Linked DNA regions of Oryzias latipes. The protein of the gene in region 1 purifies or fractionates together with the protein of each later gene. This does not show direct contact. Links are inferred from orthologs where the notes say so. Each region holds a gene or a part of one and is shown in the gene's direction. Other genes may lie near its edges. The genes, in order: crnkl1, dhx8, ppie and ccdc12.

Region 1 (4,303 bases):
CAAAATCTTCTCGTGCCACAAAAAGGTGAAGGAACAGTGTATTCAAAGACTGCAAAAATTAAACATATTTAAGACAGAACCGCAACATAATTAGTCTTTTTTAAAACATTTATGTTTAAAGAGATGATTAAATAAGTGACGCAAACTGTGCATTGTGGGGAGCTGAAGTGTTTGTGCAGAAACTGTTCCCACTGGGCCTGATCCACCAAGTCTCCAATGGGATGATCGACGAAGACAGCATGGGCCACAATGTCCTGGTTTTCATTGACCACTGTCAGGGCGAAGCTGGCTTTGTCTCTACAAGGAAGATCCCAAAAGACAAAAAAAAGCAAAATTATTTTATAAAAATAAATAACTTAAGTTAATAATTTATCATCAAAAGCAAATACATGTTTACTCTTTCTTTCAAATTACCATGGTCTTTAAACACTGACTGTATGGGATTAAATGTCAAAGACACCATAGGCTACAAGTCTGTAGATTTTTTGTTTTTAAAATACAATTGACCTACTCAAGTTGAACAACGTTGACTCTTCCAAAAATTGGACTTGTGGAGGTTGTTAGGCTCTCAATCCACTCAATGTCTGCTGATCCACCTCCTACAACGATAGTTTGACGGCTTGCGTCCTCAGCTAGACAGTTTAAAGTTTCAGATTTCATGATGATCATCTAGTGAGAGCAGGAGAAAACCGGGAAAAAAAGTCGCGATATAAGCAAAAAACGAGTAAAAATAGCTTCTTCTTTTTTTTCTTCTACAAGGTTTACTAACTCCTTGTTTTAGATAAAGCAATCCACATACTAGCTGCAACTTACTGTTCAATAACTGTGGAATGACAGAGTAGCTCCGAAAGTTTTTTTTTTTTTTTTTTTTTTTCAAGGGCAGTTGTCACAGCAACTGACGCCGCGCGGGTAGAACCATTTGTAGCCCAATGCATTGTGGGTTATCAAAGGACAATAAACAAACAAACAAACGAAAACAAATAAATAAATAAAGTTATTTGTCAAGGGAAAAAATAACTTGGCTTTTTTTCCTATTTAACATAAAACGTTTTTGCAAAATTACCTATTTGCAGACACTTGGTCAGATATTCAAGATATCAGCAAATTAAGATTCTAAACAGTGGTTACAAAAAAAAAAATATTTATTTATTTATTATAATTATTGAGTGGTAAAAACATCATCACTCTGTTGTAAATGTCAAAATAATAAAAAAATGGTCTAAGTGCAATTCACAAAAGAGCTAAAAAGCAACATTTTTCTTACTCAGAATCAGATGATAAAAGCAAACGCATCTGTATAAAGTTACTCAGAATATTTCTCTTTAAACATTAATAAGAATGCATTCTATGTCGTGATCTTCTCTGCGTTGTACACTCCAGTCCACGTGGTGCCGACAGCGGGCGTGAACTTCTAGGTTGGAACCGGAAGCTAAAAGAAAGAAATGAATTGTGGGTACTGTCATGGGCGCTCACACCGAGCAACAAGCGAGCAAACGATTTTGTTGTTGTCACTAACCAGTATACCATTTTAGAAATTGAACTTGGCATTTTAACGTAAACTGTTGACTTGCTAAGTAGTCAATATGGCCTCTACTGCTGCTGGAAAACAGCGGATACCAAAGGTGGCTAAGGTAAGTGAGAACGAAATAGCAAAGCTCTCTTAACAGCTTCGCTAAGCTAATGCTAATAATCATTTTCCCCCCAAAGGCACCCATTTTTAGTATTGCTGGCTTTTTATTTAATCATTAAAAAAAAAAGTGTGTAATACATGTGTAACAATGCAACAACAACGTTTTCACATTTTTACAATAAGAAACTATAATGAACAATTTTCAAAACTAAACTTATTTAACACTATTCTGAAAGTTCTAACAAAGAGAGTAACAACATGGTGACCTGCTTAGTTAAATTAAAATGTAACAATATGCTAATTGTTTTAATAATTTGCGACGAATCTTTATTCATTTTCCAAAACAGAAAATTATAAATCATTTTTTAAACAATTGTACAGAAGGGGAACCTTTTTTTTAAATCAATTTCATCTTGTAGTTATAATGTTTTTGCAAGAATTATTATCATGTTGAATATGTTGTTTGACTGGAAAACACAATTATGAAATACAAATATTTTATGTTGAGATAATAAAACAATTTCCCCAGGCATTACTTTAGATATGTGTACTATATCAGGCCAGAAATATTAAAACATGACAATGTACAAAGACATGTTTGCCTAATATATTCACCATGGCGCTGGCAGAAAGAGCACTTATTCCATACATTTGGGAGAAACAACAAATATATTGCGTTTTTTTTTTTTTTTACTGGGTGATATTTAAGGATAATTTAGAAGATAAATCGTTTAATATTATTTACATTAATATAGGTTTTTGCTAACAGATTGTTTCCCAAAGTGTTTTTACATACACTTTTTTCAATTAGACTTATTCCTTGAACTTAAAGTGACACTATGGCATTTATTTTAAGTTGTATTATTTGATGTAGAATAGACATAATACTCATTTTAAAACCTGTTTAAGGAACAATATTGGATTTGCCTAAAGAACTCACATACGTATAGCATTCACCATTATCATCCAGTAACTAGTTTACTGTACTTATATTTATAATGAACCTGGCATTTATTTATTTTTGTGTAAAATGTTCTATGGACTGTGATAACTACATGTTCAATCTGCAATGTTGCAACTCTGTCGTGATTTAAGCAACTTTTCTTTCCAAGATTTGATCATGTAAAAACAATAAAAAAACAACAACAAAAATGTACTTATTGTATTGACACTGCAATGCAAACTGAAAAGGAATCTATGGTCTTAAAAATACACTTTTTGCTTCTCTTTTTTTCAAATGCAAGAACATATTTTCAACGAAATTACTACGTAACTTAGTTAATCGAAGCTGAAGGTTTCCATTTATGCCGCTTCGGTTTGTCTCCTTTAATTTACCAGATAAATATTTACCTCCATTCAAACAACGCTTGCCATAACCTTCAGTGCAGTGACCACAAGCAAGTTATAGCAGGTTTACATTTCTTTCACTTGTCTATGATTGTCTATTTCTTTCACTTTAAATTAGGTAAAGTTAGAGAATTGAATTGCTGACACTTACTGCAGAGGTGAACTGAAATTAACACATTTTTCCATTTCCTGTTTTTTTGCCAAATGCTGAAACTCACTTAAAACTTGTTGCATTGTGTCCTTGGGCAAGACACTTCACCCTCCCTGCCTCCAGTGTTGCTCCACTGGTGTGTGAAGTAAGGGTTAATGGCCGACGAAGTGTGCGGTTACTACTTTTTAACGCACGCCGTGGAAGCCTGCTTCCGCGAAGTGCGTTAAAAAGTAGTAACCGCACACTTCGAAGGCCATTAACCCGCTTATACCATGGTCACTTACAAAAGCAATACATATTAACCAGGTTTTAGTCCTTAATTCTTGTTTTTTTTTTCGATTTGTATCACTTTTCTCATAAACAGCGTACTATATGTTACGTGATGCGGCGCATCGCGCCGCATCACGTAACATATAGTCCGCGTCGCGCAGCACCACCGCTGCAGTTAAGATTCGGCGATAAATATATATGCTGATCGTCCCGATGGGTTGAATAAAGCATCAATTCAGAGGGAAAGTTCACCTCTTACCGCTTGTTTTTGCCCCGATGATGAAGCAAAAGGTTGTTATACAGAAGCCGGCGCAGTGATACAAATCATTTAAGCTAGCCGACCGGAACTTCTTTTTCACCGTGCGGTTATCAGGTTTTAACGCATACCCAGCAGCCAATCAGAATCGAGTATTCAACCGGACCATGGTATAATGTGTATGAATGTCTCGGTGATGGTCAAAGGGGCCTTAGGTACGACCTGGCCGACACGCCTCTGTCATTCTGCCCCAGGGCGGCTGTGGCTACAACAGTAGCTACCATCACCAAGTATGAGGAGTGAATGAACAATGGACACATTGTAAGAGCTTTGAGCTTCTGGAACACACCGAAAAAAGTCCAATTTATTATTATTTTTATCATTAAGTATTTAATGAAATATGTGTATTTATTTTGGAGTTTACTAGCAAAGCACGGTTATTAAACCTTATATGTACATGTTTCCACTGATAATGTATTTTAAATAAGGATACCTGGGAATATGCAACATTTGTAAAGACTGTGTTTTGCGTTTTAGGTGAAGAACAAAGCCCCAGCAGATGTGCAGATTACAGCTGAGCAGCTGCTGAGAGAAGCCAAAGAAAGGGAGCTTGAACTTCTGCCACCACCTCCGAAACAGAAGATCACCA
Region 2 (4,166 bases), on another chromosome or scaffold:
TGCTCCAAAAGAAACAAACTTGTCTTTTATGTCTGTCTTTCTTTCGTTCCCTGTTTTGTTTCATTTAATCTCACAGCTGAAATCCTCCGAGGGCACACATGTACATGTAACATGTGATCTGTACACATCCGAGGTTTGTAACTGTTAGCGACACATTTCCCAGCTTCAGCTCAGAGTATGTTAGGCCTGCAGAAGTATTTTAGATTTATCTATTAAAAGTGATCTTCACTCCAGATGCAATATGGATTTATAAAAGCCCTTAATCTGTTTTCCTTTCAATATTTTTTCTACTGAATAAATCATTATAACTATGTGAACCCAGGCTGATATTTGTGCCGTGTTCAGTACAATCCAAGGTCAGAGCAGCTATTTCCCAAAGGTTTTCATGGCTGACCGGCATTATTGAGATGCTGATTTGAGTTCTGCCCACACTGTCAAGGATATCAGTTCCTGGTTTAGAGAGCCTGGTATCCCTGAAACTGATTAAGACTCACCTGACCTAAATCCTGTAAATGTTCGGGGCTATAAAAAATAGGAAGATATGAGATACCAGATGTTCAACAACACAGAAGAGCTGAAGACCATGGTTAGAGCAATCTAAGCATCCATACAATCTCATTAGAGGGATCAACGTTATGCAGAATTGCCACTGTAATTGATCAAATGCAAGTCCCTGGCATGCTCAACTTTCTCAACCGTCCAATTTTCTTTTTTAAAAATTTTTATTTTTCTGGTTTGAGATCATTTTCTTTAAAAAAAAAAGCCTCAGAAAAGTAGTTTAGGTGTAATTTCTAGAGTTTTAAACCCATAAAGCCGGATAGCTCTGATGTGTCAAAAAATACAGCATGTGTCAAATTTAAGGTATATTATCATAAGGATAAAAATGTTACTACAATGTGATAGTATACTCAAAGATCTGCTAGTTTACTTTGGCTTGAACCCATCATGGCATCCTGCTTTTGAACCGTCTTTACAAAACCCCAACACTGAAAGTCCACATAAAATTAGAGGAGATAAAGCAGATAAAAGCATTCTTTTAAAGCAAGTAGAGAAATAACATATACTAATATATAAAGTTAAACTTATTATTTCACTGAATATCTCGTAAAGAATATTTGCCATAGAAAAAAACTATACTTTCAGCAGTTAAATTTACTCTTCAGGTGGGTTTATTTTTATTTTTTTCACTATTCTATTTTTACCACTTTCCTTAACTTTTAATGGGTTTTATTTATCGAAGCTTTGGCGCCATCGTGTAGCAGGAAATGATAAGCTACCAAATCCCCAGGATCGTATTTCCGTTTACTCCGGAAGTGATTAAATATCTAACCTGTCCGCTGTCTGCTACGATCTCTGAACAAAAACAAGGCTCGTGGAGGATGGCAGACATTGGGTTAGAAGAGCTGTCGCAGCTCGAATACTTGTCTTTAGTGTCCAAGGTTTGCACGGAGCTCGACAATCATTTAGGAATAAACGACAAGGATTTAGGTGAGTGTTTTTTTCTCACTCCGAATTGTTTAAAAACATCTAGTTAGCTTTTGCTAGGCTAACTAGCTGTTATGTGGCTGTAAACAAACTAAAGCGTATCCCAATGTTTATTCCTTGTTAAAGAATACAAACAACAGTTAAACATGTTAAGAATACTGTTACCGTCATGCGCGCATGACCTAGCTTACGTATTGAATATTCGTTTATTTTAAAATACGTTTCTAGCTATGTAGTTAGCTTGTTTCTTTTCAGCAGCAGGCACGCAGTGGCATATTGAATAGTTTTTATTTTTAATTGATCGAAAAACAGTAATGTCAATGTTTAAGTCTATGAACAAATTACAGATCACATCAAAGACTCCCGTAGAAAGCAACAACTAATATCTTTCAATAAGCCTTCATTGGATTAATCATTTTTAGATATTCATAAATTGATATAACGTTTTCATTAATCCAGTAAATTTGCAGGTCTTTTTTTGTGTTTGTTGAAAAAACCTTCTGTTTCTCATTTCCCAGCTGAGTTCGTCATCAGCCTCGCTGAGAAACAACCAGCCTTTGATGGATTCAAAGCTGTTTTACTTGAAAATGGAGCCGAGTTCACAGTAAGTCCACTTCCAGCCGCTGACCTGTGACCCGTTCTCCGGTGGCTCCTGTTGAAAACCGCCTCGTTTTGCTGTTTGATTTTCAGGATTCTCTCATCAGCAACTTGCTCAGACTCATTCAGACGATGCAACCTCCATCCAAAGCATCAATGAGTAAAGGTATGTTGATGCTGAGGAACATTTTCTCCTGATTTAACAGCTAATATGCATATTTATACCAAACATAGTTCAGATCAGTCATCCATAAATAGTGATTTTGTTTGCTTCTCGTTTAAACTAAGCAAGTGTTATCTCTTTCAGTCTCAGAAGCATCTGTCAAACCCAAATCAGAGAAAGACAGGCTAAAGGAGATGTTCCCCGCACTCTGTAGACCCGATGATCCTGTACCAAAAGTAAGTTGGGAAAGGATTTTATCACTTTATTTATTCATTTTTTAATGAAAAAATGCTGACATTTGACTTTTTTTTGGTGTTTGAATACTTTAGCAACACCTGGATGAGGACGATGTCAAAGTAGCAGCTGATGCGATGAAAGAGCTTGAGATGTTTATGCCCAGCGTGAGTGGGGCAGAGTCCAAGGGGGGCAAGACAAAGTAAGACTTTGATTTTTGTAGAATAAAATCATTTGTATAGAAGTTTGTTTTATTGTGTAAAATGGAAACAGTAAACAGTGTGACCACAGATTCTTAAAAGGTCTTTTAAGTCCCAGTCTGATCCTCTTTTGATATAGTTTCAAAGCGTTCCCAGTAGTTTTCTAATTATGATGATGATATTTTTAGCCAAAATCCAAAAATCTGTGTCATATGAGGACTTAGTTTGTGCAGAGCAGCAGGAGTTCATTAGAAATTTAACTCTGAGTTGTGGGCTGAAACTGTTGGCACTGAGCAAGCCCGCCCCCACTCTTCGTCACCCATCTATTGGAGCTATCCAGTTTTGGGCCAGAAACCAGCTCCGACGAGGATCTAGTCGTCCACCAGGGAATGTAGCAGAATGGAGCGGAGCATGGGGCTTGTTGCTCGCCGCAGTGGCTTTTACGTGACACCTAAAATCATCAGTTAACCGCAATCCCACACCGTCACAGCTCTAGTTCTGAATTTCATAGGGCTCAGTCTGGTACATTTTCGGTATTTTTTCAGTATAAAAAAGCCAGAAAAAGATTTCTTTGCAAAATGCATTTATTGGTTTTATGTAACAATAAATAAAAATTGACCAATGTAGGTGATTGCTTTATAAAATAAGAAAAATTATTAGCTGTCAGGAACCAAAAACTTTGAATATTTTACACTGGGTTGGAAAAAATTAAAAACATTTTAACTTGCACATTTTTTTTTTGCTTGTAGACCCGATTTTTACATTCGGGTGATGCTGTTTTAAGTGTGTTTACAGATTCGATGTGTTACATACACTATGAACTGCAATGACATGATTCTGACCGTGGTTGGAAAACGCTGACTGGGGAGATCCTCTCCAGGGTAGAATGTACTTTGAGTTTCTTGCAATTATGTATCTTAGGTCGGATAAAAGCAGGCATCGCAGCAGAAGTAGAAGCAGAGACAGACACAGAGACCGAGACCGAGCCAGGGATCGAGATAGAGACAAGAAGCGGCGCCATCGTTCTCGATCTCGATCCAGATCTCGCTCCAGAGATCGCCACAGAGATAGAGACCGAGGCAAACGAAGGGAGAAGTCCTCCCGCTGGGGTGACCGTTCCCCCAGTCCCCGAAAGGAGCAGGACAGGGATGGAGACCGCTGGAAGGACAAACATGTGGACCGCCCCCCTCCAGAGGAACCTTCTGTTGGGGACATCTACAATGGCAAGATCACCAGCATCATGCAGTTTGGATGTTTCGTCCAACTGGAGGGATTAAGGTCAGTGTGGGGTTTAAAAAATCAATTACCCTGAATAACTTCAAAGATTTTTCTGACCTTCCTGGTCTGTTGCTCTTGTGCCTTCGTGTTGTGAACTCTTCTGGTTTAGGAAGCGGTGGGAGGGACTAGTCCACATCTCTGAGCTGCGTAGAGAGGGACGAGTCGCCAATGTGGCTGACGTTGTCAGCAAGGGTCAAAGAGTCAAAGTG
Region 3 (4,014 bases), on another chromosome or scaffold:
GCAGCACTAGTTATCCAATATGGCAACGCCCCTGTTTAATACAAGAAGTGCCCAAGTCCAGAGACTTTAGTTTGCTAGTCCTCTGAAATTATAAAAATGAGGTGCTTCATATTATAGCATTTGTAAGCTATGAGCTGGTGCTAAATCTGGGTAAAGTATTAATCATTTGGTGTTGCCTCCCTTTAAGCTATGCAATTAAAATCATTTCCTGAAAAAAAAACCTCTTGGACTTGGGCCCCTTTTGAACTAACCGATTCAATTCTGAATTGTCCCTTAGGTGTGAATGTGAGTGTGTGTGGCCTTGTGACAGGCTGGTGACATGTCCAGGGTGCACCCCCCTTTTGCCCAACAGTGTCTGGGATAGGCTCCAGCAACAGAGTGAAACCAAACGAGATTCGATGGGTTTGGGAAATGGATGGTTTGGATGTATCATTTGGAACAAACTACCAAAAATTCTCTGTAAGTGAGAATTTACATTTAAAAATGTTGATCTTTTTTAGCTGTTGACCTGTTCTTCTGAATCGGCCATAAACACAGCTTTCATCAGTGAATTATAATGTTATTGTTTGTAGTGAAACACAATGTATTGTGCTTTACAACTCTAGTGCTACAAAGGGAGTGGGGTAAAATTGTGCCCTTAGGGTTTTGTTTCAGATAAAAAGTATAAAACCTTAGTTAAAACATGGTTGGGTTTCCGTAAGAAGAAGGTGAGGACTGCTGGGTCACTAAAAGCAGTGCTTCTCAACCTTTTCCCACTTTCTCTGCCAGGTAACCCTCAACAGTAAATCAGTTTAGAAATACAGAAAATTTATGGAACAATAAGATAAAAAATAATTTGAAAGTAAAAACAGTTTAAAGGGATTTAGCAGCATTATAACAACAAAACTCTAAAGCAAAAATTACATAACATTAGTGTATTTTAGCTGTCCAAAAATTATTGTGATACATAAAGTATATATTATATTTGAAACCACTGAGCTGTTTTGTTTTATTTTTAAAACATAGTTAGGTATTTCCATTTAAAAAACAAAAAAGACAAAAAGCCAAAACGACAAATATGATTGTTTTCATCTGAAAACTCTGGCACATTTCACAAATGTGTTTGAAAAGAGTCATATTGACGGTCATTGGCTCTATAGATCAGTTGCTGGACCTAAATATGACCAATAGAGGGCGCTGTGGATAGTTGAAGAGGCGGGCTTCCTTTTGATTCCACCAATCAGAGGCCGAGGTTAAAGTTCAACATCTAGAATCCAATATGGCGTCGAATAAAAGGGTTCTGTATGTCGGTAAGTAATGATAACTTTTTAAATTAACTATGAATGTCAGACCGATCAAGTTACACTCCACTCTGAACTAAAACAGAAATTAAAAGCTCTTTTATGCTAATTCCTTCTATAAAAACTTTTTTTTACCATTTATGCGGGGAAAACCAAGGCGAGTCAACGTTGTATTCCGGTCTTATAGAAACCATCACATGCTGCTAAGCCAACTCATACAGAGCTCACTGTTTTCGACTTTAACATCCTGGTTAATGTACGATGTGTTCATTCAAAAGTACGAAGATGAAGCATTGAGTGTTGAGTGTTTGCGCTGCTGCTTCCTCCAGGTGGTTTGGCGGAGGAGGTGGATGAGAAGGTTTTACACGCAGCCTTTATTCCCTTTGGAGACATCACAGACATCCAGATACCCCTGGATTATGAAACAGGTCAGATCAAGTTTTATTTTATAATCATATAACAAAAAAACAAAAAAAAAACCCTGATCATTTAAGTATTTTTTGTGCTTACATTTTAGAAAAGCACAGAGGCTTTGGGTTCATTGAGTTTGAGCTGGCAGAGGTTTGTGCTTTTAAAGTTTTCTCCTTTTGAATTGAATTATTGATGGCACAAAGGATGGATTCAGAAAACTCATTTTTTAAAAGGTATTCACTTGAAAAACGTTATAGATTCACCAAACCAACAAGAAAAACTTTTATTTGTTGTTTTTTTTAAAGTGCAAATCAAACTCTTTGATTTGATCATATTAATTTGAAAATAACCCAGAGTTGTATCGGTGAATCTTTAACAAAAGTGAGCTTTTATTTTCTTGAATGCATCCCTTTCTCATCACTGTCTTTCCTTCAGGATGCAGCAGCAGCTATTGATAACATGGTAAGTGACTAACAGTTCTTCTTATTCTTTAAAAAGATTGGGTTTAAATTGTAGCTTTTTTTTGCTGCCAGAATGAGTCTGAACTTTTTGGACGGACTATCCGAGTGAACATCGCTAAGCCCATGAGAATCAAAGAGGGTTCTTCTCGACCAGGTAATCATAGAAGAAGATTCTTAAAATCTGCTTTGTTTTTTATGATGTGGTTTTGACCTGTAACTCTTGTTTTTGTGTTCAGTGTGGTCGGATGACGACTGGCTGAAGAAGTTTTCGGGGAAAACCTTGGAGGAAGCCGAGGCTGAGGCGGTAGCAGCAGGAGAGGCACCCAGCAAAACACAGGAGGTGAGAACTTTTTGTTTTGTTTTCAGGACACTCAGTTTATTCAGGGAATTAGATTCTAGATATTTAAGGTATAAGGTCACTGCATAAACATGTAGTAAATGAGCAATCTTTTTTTCTCTTTAAATCTTAATTTTTAGAGTATAGTTCAATAAATTTAAATGTACAGACCCGTTAGAGGGCCTTTATTTTATTTTTTCACTGAGAAAAGCAGGTTTTGGTGAAATATTGTTGCGTCAGTGTAAGACTAAAAATGAAGAGTGTAAAATGTACAGTGAATGATGAAATGTCATGTCAGGAGTGAAAATCTGTCTAATTTATATAAAAACACATCAAAACGTGACTCATCAAAAAAGCAGGTTTGTGTTTACAATCCAGAGAAATCTGCATTTTCTTAGTAATCCTCATTTAGATTAGTTTGATTGATCCACTCTCCCAATTAGAGAAACCAACTTTATCACTCGCATAACAGTAATAAAATTAGAATTAAAATTGATTCACTGGAGGAAGCAGGTTTCTTATTAAATGCACTAAATGAGTAAATTATCTGGGTGTGTGGGTTTATTTGGAAAGTCTTGGCGCATTTGAACAACAAAGGGAATCAGAAATCCTTTACAGCATTTGAGCAGAAATTACTTCCATAACGGTTGAGAGATAAAGTTAAAAAAAAAAACATTTGTAGGACTATTTTTCATTTATTTATTCATTTTTGCAGGGCTTTGTGTAGGCAATAAAAATATGATAAATGCATTTTTCTGATTTTGCAGGGGGAGCCACAGGCTAAAAAGAGCCGAGTAAATCCACAGGTCTACATGGACATCAAGATTGGGAACAAAGCAGCAGGAAGACTGCGCTTCCTCCTGCGGGCGGACATCGTTCCGATGACTGCAGGTCTGCACACTCAACCAAAAGATGAAGCAAATATTAACATTCTTCTAAAAAAGTGCAAACATTTGCAGTAGGGGCAAAAATGTATTCAGTCAGCTACTATTGTGCAAGCTCTCCCACTTAAAAAGATGAGAGAAGCCTGTCATTTTCATCATAGGTATACCTCAACTATGAAAGACAAATTGAAGGAAAAAAATCAATAATTTACAATTAAATTCTCAAGAAATGTGATTTTTTTTTTCTTCTAATTTTGTTTCTCATAGTTGAGGTATACCTATGATGAAAATGACAGCCTCTCATCTTCTTAGGTAGAAGAACTTGACCAATTGGTAGCCGACTAAACACCATTTAACCCCACTGTGTCCTTTAGTCTCTCTTTGAGGTTGCTGATGCACACTCTATTTACTTTGAATATAATATCAGTCTTCTAAATTCTTTATAAATTATTCAAAAAATGTTTTTCTTTCTGTTTTTATAATAAAAAATAAACCTACTCCCCAATTCTGATTTGAGACAGGACCTGAACATATTGAGATTTCATATCCTATTTTTTTTTTTAGTCTGGGGCTGTGGTCTTACAATATATGACATAACCGAGACCCCTGTTGGAGAGAAATGGCAAAACCACAACTACACA
Region 4 (3,996 bases), on another chromosome or scaffold:
TCTTTTGCACATTTCACCTATAAATAGGATACAATTTTCATGGCCAAGATTTAAATAATCATTTGTCTTTTGAGTCACGTTGTGACACTTAAGCAACATGTGATCCACATAAAACCAACCACTATACCATAATCGAAAAAGTAGTACCGAGGTTGTTTTGTTGTTATGATTGTTGTTGAGTGGGGGTTTGGATTTTTATAAGCTTTCACTTCTTCCATTCCCCTTTCAAATCTTATTTTCCAAGTCATGTATTGCCTTATATTTTCTTTTTCCAGGTAAATGTTGATTTGATTCCAAATAAACGTGTTACTTGCGAACACAGATCATATCCAAACATGTCTCATACCAGCATAGCTGGATGGGGATCTACTAAAAAAACTATTTTGTGTATAGGATCTTTGTTTAGGTAATTAACCATTAACACAAAGGTCAACTTTTGTGAGTGTTTTTGTTGTTTGCATCTTGGCAACTTCAAAATAAAACAAATAAAAGATGAAAAAAATATATGTATTTTACTTATATTATATAAAGGTTTGTGTTAGATATTTCAGATGGAGAACAATTATGTGCAACACCATTTTTTTCAGCTCTCTTTACTATGCACTGTATTAGGAAAATAGTGAAATCATATCTGCTTTGACTCAAAGAAATATAACCAAGAATTAAAAATTAATAATCACAAGTTTCAAGTTGTCCTCTTTATGACCATCTGCAAGACCTTTTTTTAGAATCGTTATCACAGCTGGGTGTGTCTTCACGCACTAGTGTTATTCATTTATAGGAGAATTGACATGAAGCGTGGAGCAGCTGTATTAATGTGGCCTTCATTCCCAAATAGGACCTGATACTGCAACCGTGAACAAAAAGGATGCTTGACCAGTGCAGTAAGACACCTATTCACTTTAATCATAATGTCATAAGTTGATCTAAAGGTAAAATGCTTATATATAAAGCGTTGGAAACCACAGTTAACAGAAAACAGATAAACCAACGCATTAAAAAAATCTGTTTTCTTTAACCTAATTTTACAGTAGATAATGTAAAATATATCATGAATTGGAATGAGCAAGACTGTAGAAAACTGAAAATATGAAGTCACGTGAACAAAACAGGACAGCTCAATCGATGTGTTCGGCGATTGTTTGTCCCCTACCAGTCCTACTAGAAGATTTCAGATGCAATCGAGTGGCGTGTGGAAACAAACATGGAGCAAAGTGTTGGGTCGCTTCAGGAACAAGCCCTCAAGAGGAAAGAAAGACTCAAAGCACTGAGAGATAAAAAGCTTCACGTAAGTTTCAGGCCTGCTGGCTGTTTCGTTTCTACTAGTTGGACGGAAACGACCACTTTCAGGCTAATGAATGACAGAGATGCTAACATTTAGCTCCAGAATTAGCACACTGAAGCTAACTCTGCTGCTTTTGACTCAATAAATTCATTAATAGACCCCATTTGTGGATTGCTTTAAGTATTTCAAGGCTAATGAGGTACAAAACAAATAATATACAATGTATATCGTGCTTGCTTCCCCCGGAATCGAAACTATATCAAATCAATAAACTCGCTAATTTAACTTGATTTCAGGAACACTTTTTTGGGCTCCACATTTTTTCCCTGACGGCCTCCTTGTTTATCTGTTGTGTAGTTACAGTCAGGCTGTCGATATCTCTTTGACTGAGGGCGCAGACCAGCAGGTTACTGAGATAAGACAAATGACCCTCTTTCTATAGTGACCTCTCACAACAAAAATGTTGTTTCTTCGCCATTTATTCATAAGTGCTGGAAAGAATTGTTTTCTAAGTTATAAATATAAAATCCAATATTTAGAAAACTGCATATAGTCAAGGACTGCAATAAGGATTTTACATTTACAGAAAAAAAATAATATTATGAGAGTTTTTGATAATTGTACATTTCAGTTTCTCTTCAGTGGGTTGTGGAAACAGGCTCTTGGGGGGTGAGGAGGTACTCCCAGATAGCTGGATAACTATAGCCAACGTGATCAGGGAGACAGGTAAGAGTTTACTTGGAGTGTCATCAGGGAAAAAAAGGTTGATAAGGAGACTTGGTGGTGGAATGAGGAGGCGCAGGAGTTTATACAAAGTAAGGGGCTATCTAAGAAGAAGTGGGACACTGAGAGGACTGAGGAGAGGAGACAGGAGTTCAGAGAGATGCAGCAGGTTGGGGTGATGAAGGATGGGAATGGTTATGTATTGACAGGTGTCAGTAGTGTGAATGGAAAGATGGGAAGAATTGATGAGAGGGAATAAAGAATAGAAGAGGTGACTGTTGTGAAGCACGACGTAAGATTAGTAAGGGTGAAGTGACGGGGGCATTAAAGAGGATGAAGAGTAGAAAGACACTTGGTCCTGATGTGATGATATATCTGTGGAGGTATTGAAGTGTCTTGCAGAGATGGCAGTAGAGTTTTGGACTGGGTTGTTAAACAGGATCTTTGGTGGTGAGATGATGCCTGAGGAACTGCGTAGGAGGGTCTAAGAACAGGGTTGTTTAGTTTAGTTAGTTCAGTTTAGAATCTTTCTATTGAATTGTGTGGGTTCATGATCCTTTTGATTTTATGTTTTACCCTACATTTATCTGCACAAAGCCCATCGAGACGACTGTGGTTGTGATTTTGGGCTATACAAATAAAATTGAATTGAATTGAATGGAGGAGAAGTGTGACGCTGCCCATATTTAAGAATAAGGGAGATGTGAAGAGTTGTTGCAGTCACAGATGAATAAAGCTGATGAGCCATACAATGAAGTTATGGGAAAGAGTAGATGAAGCTAGACTTGGAGCAGAAGGGAACATTTGTGAGCAGCAGTTTGGTTTCAGATGCAGTATGTGCTTTGAGGATGATAGAGAAGGTCAGAGGGAGCTACATGTGTCTTTGTAGATCTGGAGAAAGCTTATGACAGGGTGCCCAGAGAGGAACTATGGTAATGTCTGACGAGGTCTTGAGTGACAGAGAAGTGTGTTAGAGGAGTGCAGGACATGTATGAGGGCTTTCAGACAGAGGTGAGATTTACTGTTGGGGTGACAGAGGAGTTCAAGGTGGGGGTGGGATTACATCAGGGATCAGCTCTGAGCCCCTTCCTGTTTGCAATGCTGATGGACAGTGTGACAGATGAGGTTAGACAGGAAGCGCTATGGATTAAAGCCCCATTAGTTGTCATTCACTTAGGTGTGGGAATGTTGCTCTCCGCGTTTGACCCATCCCCTGGGGGAGCGGTGAGCTGCAGACACAGACGCCCAACTCCAACTGGTGTCAAGCAGGGAGGCATTGGGTCCCATTTTTAGAGTCTTTGGTATGATTCGGCCTGGATTTGAACACACAACCCTCCAATTTCAGGGCGGACACTCTACCATAAGGCCACTGAGCTGGATTATGATGTTTGTGGTTGGTATTGGGATTTGTAGTGAGAGCAGGGAACAGGTGAAGGAGAAGCTAGAGGTGGTGGTTTGCTCTGCAAAGGAGAGGAACGAAGGTCAGTTGCAGCTAGATGTTACAGGGAGAAGACATGAAGATGGTGGAGGATTTGAACTATCCAGGGTCAGAGTGTGGAAAAGAAGTGAAGAAGCGAATGCAGGGAGATTGGAATGGGTGGAGAAAAGTATCAGGTGTGATAGAAGAGTTTCAGCTCAAATCTGTGGTGAGACCAGCCATATTGTTCGGCCTAGAGACAGTAGCCTGAGAAAAAGACAGGAAGCAGAGCTGGTGGTAGCCGAGATGAAGATGCTGTTCTTCTCTTTAGTAGTGACAAGGATGGATTGGATCAGGAATGAGTAGATCAGAGGGACAGCGCATGTTGAAGGGTTTTGGAGATAAAGGCAGAGAGGCCAGACTGAGATGGTTTGGACGTGTGTCCAGAGACGGTGAACATAGGATGCTGAGTCCAGAGGAAGACCAAAGAGGTTTATGGATGCAGTGAATGAAGACATAAAGGTAGCTGGTGTTAGAGTAGAGGATGCAGAAGACAGGAGGAGTAGATGGA

What was found.
Region 2: the proteins of crnkl1 (region 1) and dhx8 purify together in Homo sapiens (affinity purification with mass spectrometry; 3 studies listed by BioGRID and IntAct, counting the BioPlex papers as one, with this or other methods). This does not show direct contact. The link is inferred for Oryzias latipes from reciprocal best matches to the Homo sapiens genes CRNKL1 and DHX8.
Region 3: the proteins of crnkl1 (region 1) and ppie purify together in Homo sapiens (affinity purification with mass spectrometry; 3 studies listed by BioGRID and IntAct, counting the BioPlex papers as one, with this or other methods). This does not show direct contact. The link is inferred for Oryzias latipes from reciprocal best matches to the Homo sapiens genes CRNKL1 and PPIE.
Region 4: the proteins of crnkl1 (region 1) and ccdc12 purify together in Homo sapiens (co-immunoprecipitation; 3 studies listed by BioGRID and IntAct, with this or other methods). This does not show direct contact. The link is inferred for Oryzias latipes from reciprocal best matches to the Homo sapiens genes CRNKL1 and CCDC12.

What each region holds. Positions count from the first base shown.
Region 1 is NC_019882.2:16,307,191-16,311,493, forward strand, and holds the start of crnkl1 (crooked neck-like protein 1), read left to right. Parts: upstream 1-1,444; 5' UTR 1,445-1,583; coding exon 1,584-1,631; intron 1,632-4,191; coding exon 4,192-4,303. Other genes in the region: cfap61 (cilia- and flagella-associated protein 61), read right to left, coding at 1-49, 147-297, 512-669. UniProt on the Homo sapiens protein: Involved in pre-mRNA splicing process. As a component of the minor spliceosome, involved in the splicing of U12-type introns in pre-mRNAs.
Region 2 is NC_019877.2:18,259,291-18,263,456, reverse strand, and holds the start of dhx8 (ATP-dependent RNA helicase DHX8), read left to right. Parts: upstream 1-1,316; 5' UTR 1,317-1,379; coding exon 1,380-1,488; intron 1,489-2,003; coding exon 2,004-2,089; intron 2,090-2,175; coding exon 2,176-2,248; intron 2,249-2,389; coding exon 2,390-2,481; intron 2,482-2,574; coding exon 2,575-2,681; intron 2,682-3,600; coding exon 3,601-3,957; intron 3,958-4,066; coding exon 4,067-4,166.
Region 3 is NC_019880.2:16,796,592-16,800,605, reverse strand, and holds the start of ppie (peptidyl-prolyl cis-trans isomerase E), read left to right. Parts: upstream 1-1,188; 5' UTR 1,189-1,258; coding exon 1,259-1,289; intron 1,290-1,609; coding exon 1,610-1,708; intron 1,709-1,797; coding exon 1,798-1,841; intron 1,842-2,126; coding exon 2,127-2,153; intron 2,154-2,224; coding exon 2,225-2,306; intron 2,307-2,388; coding exon 2,389-2,492; intron 2,493-3,256; coding exon 3,257-3,380; intron 3,381-4,014. UniProt on the Homo sapiens protein: Involved in pre-mRNA splicing as component of the spliceosome. Combines RNA-binding and PPIase activities.
Region 4 is NC_019874.2:16,703,421-16,707,416, reverse strand, and holds the start of ccdc12 (coiled-coil domain-containing protein 12), read left to right. Parts: upstream 1-1,156; 5' UTR 1,157-1,204; coding exon 1,205-1,288; intron 1,289-3,996.